2 linked regions of the Xenopus tropicalis genome follow. The protein of the gene in region 1 interacts with the protein of each later gene in a pairwise test. Links are inferred from orthologs where the notes say so. Each region holds a gene or a part of one and is shown on either strand. Other genes may lie near its edges.

What was found. The genes of interacting proteins can lie anywhere in the genome.
Region 2: the proteins of pfdn5 (region 1) and pfdn2 interact in binary tests that used the Homo sapiens proteins (3 or more experiments, as listed by UniProt). The link is inferred for Xenopus tropicalis from reciprocal best matches to the Homo sapiens genes PFDN5 and PFDN2.

The regions. Positions count from the first base shown.
Region 1 is NC_030678.2:147,137,741-147,142,308, forward strand, and holds the start of pfdn5 (prefoldin subunit 5), read right to left. Parts: upstream 2,863-4,568; 5' UTR 2,842-2,862; coding exon 2,770-2,841; intron 2,528-2,769; coding exon 2,425-2,527; intron 2,340-2,424; coding exon 2,308-2,339; intron 1,786-2,307; coding exon 1,711-1,785; intron 1-1,710. UniProt on the Homo sapiens protein: Binds specifically to cytosolic chaperonin (c-CPN) and transfers target proteins to it. Binds to nascent polypeptide chain and promotes folding in an environment in which there are many competing pathways for nonnative proteins.
Region 2 is NC_030684.2:143,079,928-143,084,624, forward strand, and holds the start of pfdn2 (prefoldin subunit 2), read right to left. Parts: upstream 3,019-4,697; 5' UTR 3,016-3,018; coding exon 2,977-3,015; intron 1,360-2,976; coding exon 1,271-1,359; intron 1,109-1,270; coding exon 985-1,108; intron 1-984. UniProt on the Homo sapiens protein: Binds specifically to cytosolic chaperonin (c-CPN) and transfers target proteins to it. Binds to nascent polypeptide chain and promotes folding in an environment in which there are many competing pathways for nonnative proteins.

The sequences.
Region 1 (4,568 bases):
TTGTGTGACCCACAAAATCTTGTCACGCAACAAGCACAATGTTTTGTATGATCCTGTTTCCGTGTCTATATCAGACATGTATTTTAATGAGAAAAAATCTCTTTCAGACACTATGAGATTTTGTCTGGTTGTATGAAGACACAGCAGGCAAAGTCGACTACCAAAAGGCACATTGCATCTGATGGCAAAGCTTTCATATAGTTTACACATCAGATTTTTCTATCAGTCCCATTATTTTTTAACCATGCAACTACATTCGACAGGATGCGATCTGTCAAACCAACACCATTCTACAAAATCTCATGTGAAGTTCAGCCCTAAGTTATACCAGTGGGTATATGTGCCCTGTAAAGGCAAATAATCACAATATGCCTTCAAAATTAACTAAGCTTTAATCATACCATATATCTTTCCGAATTCATGAATCTCCTTATATTAAAAACTTACACTACAAGTGCCCAGTGATACATTTATCAGAAACAGATACCTACAGATCCTGTCAGCTTAAAGTGCACTGCATTCATTATATTTTGACTGAGTAAAGATGGCCATACACGCACTGATGATACTGTACAAAACCTCGTTTTGTATGATATTTGGTGCGTGTATGGCAGATCGACAAGATGACCGTTATTGCAAAGGCTGCGGATATCGGTTGTCTCATCGCTCAGCCGGGTTAAAAGATTTTGACTGGGCGCCATTGAAGGCGCCCGAACAAAACCTGCGTTCAGGGCTGAACCGGCAGGTGGAGGTAGAATTCCTATTGTTTCTACCTTCACATCCGATGACTCTGAATGTCAGTGGGGGAAACGAACGATCTTTCCTGCAACTCATGGTCGCAGGAAAGATCGGAATTGCTACATGTATGGCCACCTTTAAAAATAAAATAACATCTTATCTTGGTACTCTGAAACCAAAATATGTATATATTATATAATATATATATATATATATATATAGTGGTTACAAAGCACACTGCTGTTAAATTGCTTAGCTTAACATCCTCTGCTGTAGGCCTAACAAATTCCTTGCAGAGAACTGCAGCTGCCTAAGTCTCCCACTTTGCAAGCAGACAGTTTAACAAAAAAATACTTTTTCTGGGGTAAAAGCACATAGGCCCAGGTTCACTAATATATATAATATATAATAAATATAAGTGCTTCAAGTTATTTTTTCAGTTATAATAAGTGCCATCACTTCTAGAGGTAAATTTCTCTGAGTGATATCAGCACCAAATTACCTCTAGAAGTGATATGGCTACATTGTTGTGAATGTATTGTGGTATGATATTAAAGGGCAACTAAGTAAGCAAGTGTGGATTATTATTTACCTATACAGGGCTTATGCATATGTACAGCAGCTTTACACAAGTAGTCAAATTTCCCTATTGCTGCTTTTCGCTTTCCTACTGGTCTAGCCAATGGTCTCTTGGGCAAAACTTGCACAAGTTCTGCCAATCTTAACTGCGAGAATAACCTGTGCATGTTCCAGAACACGCTAAATTTTAAAAAATAAAAATAAACCAGTTGCTTTTAATTCAACCAATAAAAATTAAATCTGTTTGTCACACCAGATGGTTTGAAGAGTAGCAATAATGTGTTATGTATAGTTAGAAATATACTAACAAACTTTTGCGCAAGAAAATGTTAACAGTAGGTTGCTCATCACAGTCACACCTTAAGCTAAAAAACAAACAAAAAAGTAGCTCACCTTTTCCACATAATATCCAGTACCCACATCGATCAGTATATTTGACACATCATTAAGAGTCCCAGGCACATACATCTACATGAAAGGTTAAGGGGGAAAAAACCCACACACCTACTGTTCTTCTTTAAACACTGTTGTGCAAATACTGGTTTTCTATTTTTTTTTGCTCATTAAAAGGGGAGTTCACCTTTAAGATAACTTTTGGTACATTGTACAATGGCCTATAATATTAGCAACTTTTCAATTGGTCTATATTTTGTATAGCCTGACTGACTGTATACAGTACATTTTTGTCCAAGTACCCAGGAAAAACACACCGTGCTGCTATTCTTGACATGTTTTTCCTACACTATAACAACCATCATCACACTCTTTTAAGCAGTCACCTAAGCAGTTTAGCCATTTAGTGTTTAAACTTTGGATAAAAATGCATTACTGTTTAGTAGATTTTTGACACTTAGCTTGCTACAGACTTACAACGTTCCTTACATTAATAATATAATAAACAAATAGAAGAGAACATACTTTAAAACTGGAAGCAGCTCACTGGTTTTGCCACCATATGGCTTTTTCATAATATAGTGATGAAAAGGATACAGAGCTGGTCAGGGGAACAAGCAGTTGCTTCCCTGTCAGATAAACACATACAGGTTATTAGAGAGAGGAACTAAGCCGACTGACACACCCTACTAACTGGCTGCCGCTGTCACTCACCTTCATTGCTTTTGTTCAGCACACTCAGGCACTCCTTTGCCTCCACATACTTGGTCTGAACCACCTTTAGCTGAGCGATGGAGGAGGACAGGAACTCCACTTCCTATGAAAGGAAAAGGCACATAAGGAAGGCCTTACTAACCCTGTAACCCCGGAGTATGAGCAACACCAGGCTGGGGCGGGACAGCAAAAGCTGCAGTGGGACTCTGGGAGTAAGGGATCCACAGCCACGGGGTGGCCAGAACTCATCCAAGCCAGTTGTGGGACACTACGTTTAGTCGTGGGGAAAAACCAACACAGAGGCATCCCCAATTTAAGACGGCAATGTAAGATTAACTAAGATACCTGGTCCAACTGACTTTTCAATCCCTCCAACTGCGGCAGAGACAAGTCGGTAATGTTCACTGTCTGCGCCATCTTGAGAGAGGAAGAACCCCGCCTTCCTACTACATTACTATAGTGACTGTCTAGCTGGGAAACCGTATATTGTTTGGCGCTCTGTACGCACGGCTAGCGCTCTATGATAGTCCGGAGGCTGCGACGCATGCGTACTAACATGTAAGGGACCGTGTACTTGGCAGATGGTCCGCTTGCTAACATGATATTTATAAATAAGTCAAATCGCAGAAATATATATATATTTTTTTTAGATTTTCTTTTTCTTATTTTGCAAAGAGAGGAATAAGTGCAAAAGTACACAAAATGCTATTGTTACATTAAACTACCTCATTTCTACCAGTAACATGGTATTTCAACAATCAATAGAGAAGAAAGAATAGAGGAACATATAGAGTAGGAAACAAACAGTAGGAAACGGAAGAAGAGAGACCCCCCCATAACAATATAATATTTTAAGAATCTATGCAGTAGGTTAAGCACTGTTTTTTAAGAAATTTTGAAATTCACTAAAAATTTACATTTTGCAGTCATGTATCACACATTCTTGTGTACAAAGAAAGATTAGCCATAATATGAATGCTCATACATGAAAATAGTACACATTAAAGTTCTACAGGCAAAAGCAAGTCATCAGGACAATGCAAAATGTAGTCACAAAAAAAATACTTTAACTTGACTTGCTGTTGTAGTGTCATCAGTCCCAGACAGTGTTGCATTTCTTAAAAAATACATAAAAATAAATACAAAGTAATGCCTTTTTGGTCTTTAGGCAAGTGAGGAGGAGGGAGCAGAATTTGTTTGGTTAGTTGGTGGATTTAGTTATTCCAAAAGAGAGTTTTCCACCCAACATTTAGTAAACCCGAATGGGGCTAATTGTTTGTGTTGTTTTCCCATTGACAAATGTGTCTAGGTATTTGTTCCAAACGCTATAGAACAGTGATCCTCTTGATTATTAATCTTGAAGAGCTAAGACCCACTGAAGTTGCACAGTATGTAGAAGCTTATGTTCTCGTAATTGCTTTGATGGGGGTTGTGTTGCTGTCCAACATTACGGGATTGATTTGACTGCTTTTAATACAAGTATTTCTGCCAGTCTAAGGTTACCTTTCTTAGCTTTATTGATGGGCTTCGGTATGACCCTAGAAGTATCTGTGGGTTACTGGAATGTTGCATAGCATATTAATTTGTGTTAAATCCTCTTCTTAAAAGGCATCTATTGCAGTGAAAGTTCATAGGACATGTTCTAAACTGCCTTCCACATGGGGGCAGCATTGCATTTCTTTTTGCATCTCCTTTTCAGAGTTGACATGCTTCAAAATACTGATTGTAGAATATGTAGAATATGTTGGCACTTAATAAATAAATGTTATTAATAATACTGCTCTCTTCACCAGTACTTCTGCCAGAGATATTCTTTGGTCTCCCCACAGGCACCATGATAGCATTTCACCTGCTAGACTCACACCCCTCTCAATGGGAAATAAAGTACTTTGCTGCAGCTACATCTACAAACAGAATTCCCCCTCAGCCACATGGCTCCATATCATCCCTTATGGTGGTCATACATCTGCGATATATCTGCAGCTTATTGGCCTGTGTATGGGACCCTCCAAACGACATCTGGACGAAAATCAGCCAGCTCTCGATTGGGCAGGTTTAATAATCCCATCAGGGCAGGGAACACCAACTCGTTAATGCAGTCCTTGCCCCAACGCCCTGTTTGTACTGCATTGTGATTAGATGAT
Region 2 (4,697 bases), on another chromosome or scaffold:
GAATGCAACTGCCCAGGGCAGCCAATCACTTGTGTTTCATGTCTGTAGCCACACCCTAGCCAGTGTCAAGCTCCGCCCTCCCCAACTAACATTTACTTGGTCTTGAATGCTTTGATAAGGGGTAATTATATCTTAGGGCTGTTCTGCCCCAATAAGGGGTAATTATATCTTAGTTGGGATCAAGTACAGGTACTGTTTTATTATTACAGAGAAAAGGGAATCATTTAACCATTAAATAAACCCAATAGGGCTGTTCTGCCCCCAATAAGGGGTAATTATATCTTAGTTGGGATCAAGTACAGGTACTGTTTTATTATTACAGAGAAAAGGGAATCATTTAACCATGAAATAAACCCAATAGGGCTGTTCTGCCCCAATAAGGGGTAATTATATCTTAGTTGGGATCAAGTACAGGTACTGTTTTATTATTACAGAGAAAAGGGAATCATTTAACCATGAAATAAACCCAATAGGGCTGTTCTGCCCCAATAAGGGGTAATTATATCTTAGTTGGGATCAAGTACAGGTACTGTTTTATTATTACAGAGAAAAGGGAATCATTTAACCATTAAACCCAATAGGGCTGTTCTGCCCCAATAAGGGGTAATTATATCTTAGTTGGGATCAAGTACAGGTACTGTTTTATTATTACAGAGAAAAGGGAATCATTTAACCATGAAATAAACCCAATAGGGCTGTTCTGCCCCCAATAAGGGGTAATTATATCTTAGTTGGGATCAAGTACAGGTACTGTTTTATTATTACAGAGAAAAGGGAATCATTTAACCATTAAATAAACCCAATAGGACTGTTCTGCCCCAATAAGGGGTAATTATATCTTAGTTGGGATCAAGTACAGGTACTGTTTTATTATTACAGAGAAAAGGGAATCATTTAACCATTAAATAAACCCAATAGGGCTGTTCTGCCCCCAATAAAGGTTAATATGCCCTTTAATTAGGTGCCCACAAGGCAGAGCCTTACCTGCTCTTTATTATTCTCCAAAGCCGGAAGCACTTCCTTCACGGTGCGTTCCACCAGTACCCCCCCGACCATCCGGAAACACTTCCTGCCCTGCTCCACTTCCTTCAGGGTGTCGATAACCAACCTGCGGAGCGAGGGAGACGACTGTCAGTTAGTTAGGGAGATCTGCACTGGTTCCGACTACAGAACAAATGTAGCGTGCAACAGAGAGGAATAACGACCCTCGGGGAGAATCACATTGAAGGATTCTTCATTGCTGAACGACCTGTTTGCTAATGAGACTCACGTGTGTTCGTTAAGCTCCATCTCCAGTTCCGCTGCCTTGGACGCGAGACCTCGCTGCTCCTGGCGCAGGCGATTAAATCCAGCCACCACCTGTAGCAACAAACACAGAACGTACATATTAAACAAGGGTATTTGGCTTAACTTTCCCTTTAATGGCAACTCTTAAACAATGTGGGCAAACAGATCAGCCCAGCATTGGCTCATCTTCTTACAGGGGCCTATGGGGTCCAATATCCAGAAACCCTTTATCCATAATGTTCCATAGACTTCTTTTTTAATCACGTTAAAAAGTTATTTCCCTTTTCTCTGTAATAATAAAACAGTACCTGTACTTGATCCCAACTAAGATATAATTACCCCTTATTGGGGGCAGAACAGCCCTATTGGGTTTATTTCATGGTTAAATGATTCCCTTTTCTCTGTAATAATAAAACAGTACCTGTACTTGATCCCAACTAAGATATAATTACCCCTTATTGGGGCAGAACAGCCCTATTGGGTTTATTTAATGGTTAAACAATTCCCTTTTCTCTGTAATAATAAAACAGTACCTGTACTTGATCCCAACTTAGATATAATTACCCCTTATTGGGGGCAGAACAGCCCTATTGGGTTTATTTAATGGTTAAATGATTCCCTTTTCTCTGTAATAATAAAACAGTACCTGTACTTGATCCCAACTAAGATATAATTACCCCTTATTGGGGGCAGAACAGCCCTATTGGGTTTATTTAATGGTTAAATGATTCCCTTTTCTCTGTAATAATAAAACAGTACCTGTACTTGATCCCAACTAAGATATAATTACCCCTTATTGGGGCAGAACAGCCCTATTGGGTTTATTTCATGGTTAAATGATTCCCTTTTCTCTGTAATAATAAAACAGTACCTGTACTTGATCCCAACTAAGATATAATTACCCCTTATTGGGGCAGAACAGCCCTATTGGGTTTATTTAATGGTTAAATGATTCCCTTTTCTCTGTAATAATAAAACAGTACCTGTACTTGATCCCAACTAAGATATAATTACCCCTTATTGGGGGCAGAACAGCCCTATTGGGTTTATTTCATGGTTAAATGATTCCCTTTTCTCTGTAATAATAAAACAGTACCTGTACTTGATCCCAACTAAGATATAATTACCCCTTATTGGGGCAGAACAGCCCTATTGGGTTTATTTAATGGTTAAATGATTCCCTTTTCTCTGTAATAATAAAACAGTACCTGTACTTGATCCCAACTAAGATATAATTACCCCTTATTGGGGCAGAACAGCCCTATTGGGTTTATTTAATGGTTAAATGATTCCCTTTTCTCTGTAATAATAAAACACTAAGGTGCCCCAGTCCCATTGTTGAACCCCCTTCCAACTGAGGGATTATGGGATATCACTAACAGCTCAGTACCATAGCAACACTGCTACCAAGCTGGCTAGCAACAGTTTCTAGGAAGCAGAAGAGCCGGCTGCTCCTGGGCTGCTGTGGGAAGGCTATCAGGGATCCCAATAGGGAATGAATCTGAGTAAATGCCCAAGGAAGCCTGTTCCCACTGAGCTTATAATAGCACATGTGTCTATATAAGGGAATGAATGGCCATAATGAAAAAAGGGCTTTGGGCTTAGTTGCCCTTTAAACGGCCGGTTGGGGGGGGGGGGTACCGGCCGGGCAGACCCCCCAGCAGCCATTATGCCCACCATGCCCAGTACCTGCTCGGCCGCCACCTGCTTCGCTGCATTAGACGCCATCACGCTTCTCTCTCGCACTGCGCACCTTCTCCGCGCAGCGGAAGTCTATGCGTTCCGACGCCACTTCCGCCCGGGAAGTCCTGGCGGCGCCATGTTGAGAGAGGGAAAAGCATGACTGGAAGCGCCTGGTTGGTGGGGCGCATAAGCCGCGTCATAGTCGGGCCGTAGTAAGTGACGTCAACACATTGTGACAGCTGAGGCCTCCTGGGAAAGTGTGTGTGTCAGATATATCGCCGCTTCTTTATAGCCCGTGCGGGGGGGCTGCGTAATGCGATTGGCTAATGGGGTGTCCGGAAGTCTCTAAACTACAGATCCCAGAATGCTCAGCCAAAGCCCGGGGAGCTGACGTTAGCCTCCTGTTGTCATGTGACTACTCCCTAGTGCGCCTGTTATTGGTCAGCCACCATTTCTGGGGTTTCTCTGCCCAGATGCAGGTTAAATAAACATATATAACTACACTAGAGAATAACAAGTCAAATGGGGTTCATCTTGGGGTTCCCAGCTCATTCCCTATCTTGGTAAAGAGATTAAAGGGAAAGTAAAGTCTTAGCACTTAGTGTCTTGGACTAAATCTCCCAATCCTGTTTCCCATTTATTTCTTTATAGTTTTTAAATAAATTCTTCTTCTGCCTCTTTGCAGCTTTCAAATGGGGGTCACTGACCCCGGCAGCCAAACCCTATTGCTCTGTGAGGCTCCAGTTTTATTGTTATTGTTACTTTTTATTCCTTATCTTTCTATTCAGCCCCTCCCCTATTTATATACCCGCCTCTCATTCAAATCACTCCCTGGTTGCTAAGGTAATTTGAGCCCTAGCAACAGTATAACTGACCCCGGCAGCCAAACCCTATTGCTCTTTGAGGCTCCAGTTTTATTGTTACTTTTTATTCCTTATCTTTCTATTCAGCCCCTCCCCTATTTATATACCCGCCTCTCATTCAAATCACTCCCTGGTTGCTAAGGTAATTTGAGCCCTAGCAACAGTATAACTGACCCCGGCAGCCAAACCCTATTGCTCTGTGAGGCTCCAGTTTTATTGTTATTGTTACTTTTTATTCCTTATCTCTCTATTCAGCCCCTCCCCTATTCATATACCCGCCTCTCATTCAAATCACTCCCTGGTTGCTAAGGTAATTTGAGCCCTAGCAACAGTATAACTGACCCTGGCAGCCAAACCCTATTGCTCTGTGAGGCTCCAGTTTATTGTTATTGTTACTTTTTATTCCTTATCTTTCTATTCAGCCCCTCCCCTATTCATATGCCAGCCTCTCATTCAAATCACTCCCTGGTTGCTAAGGTAATTTGAGCCCTAGCAACAGTATAACTGACCCCGGCAGCCAAACCCTATTGCTCTGTGAGGCTCCAGTTTTATTGTTACTTTTTATTCCTTATCTTTCTATTCAGCCCCTCCCCTATTCATATACCAGTCTCTCATTCAATCCACTCCCTGGTTGCTAAGGTAATTTGAGCCCTAGCAACAGGAGAACTGACCCGTTTTATTGTTACTGTTACTTTATATCAATTACCTATCTATTCAGCCCCTCTCCTATTCATATTCCCTTCTCTCGTTCGAATCAAAGCCTGGTTGCTAGGGTACTTTGCACCCTAGCAACCAGGCAACTGAAACATGAAACCCAAATTCTTTTTTTTAATGAAATCATCCATACTTGTTATAAATGTATTT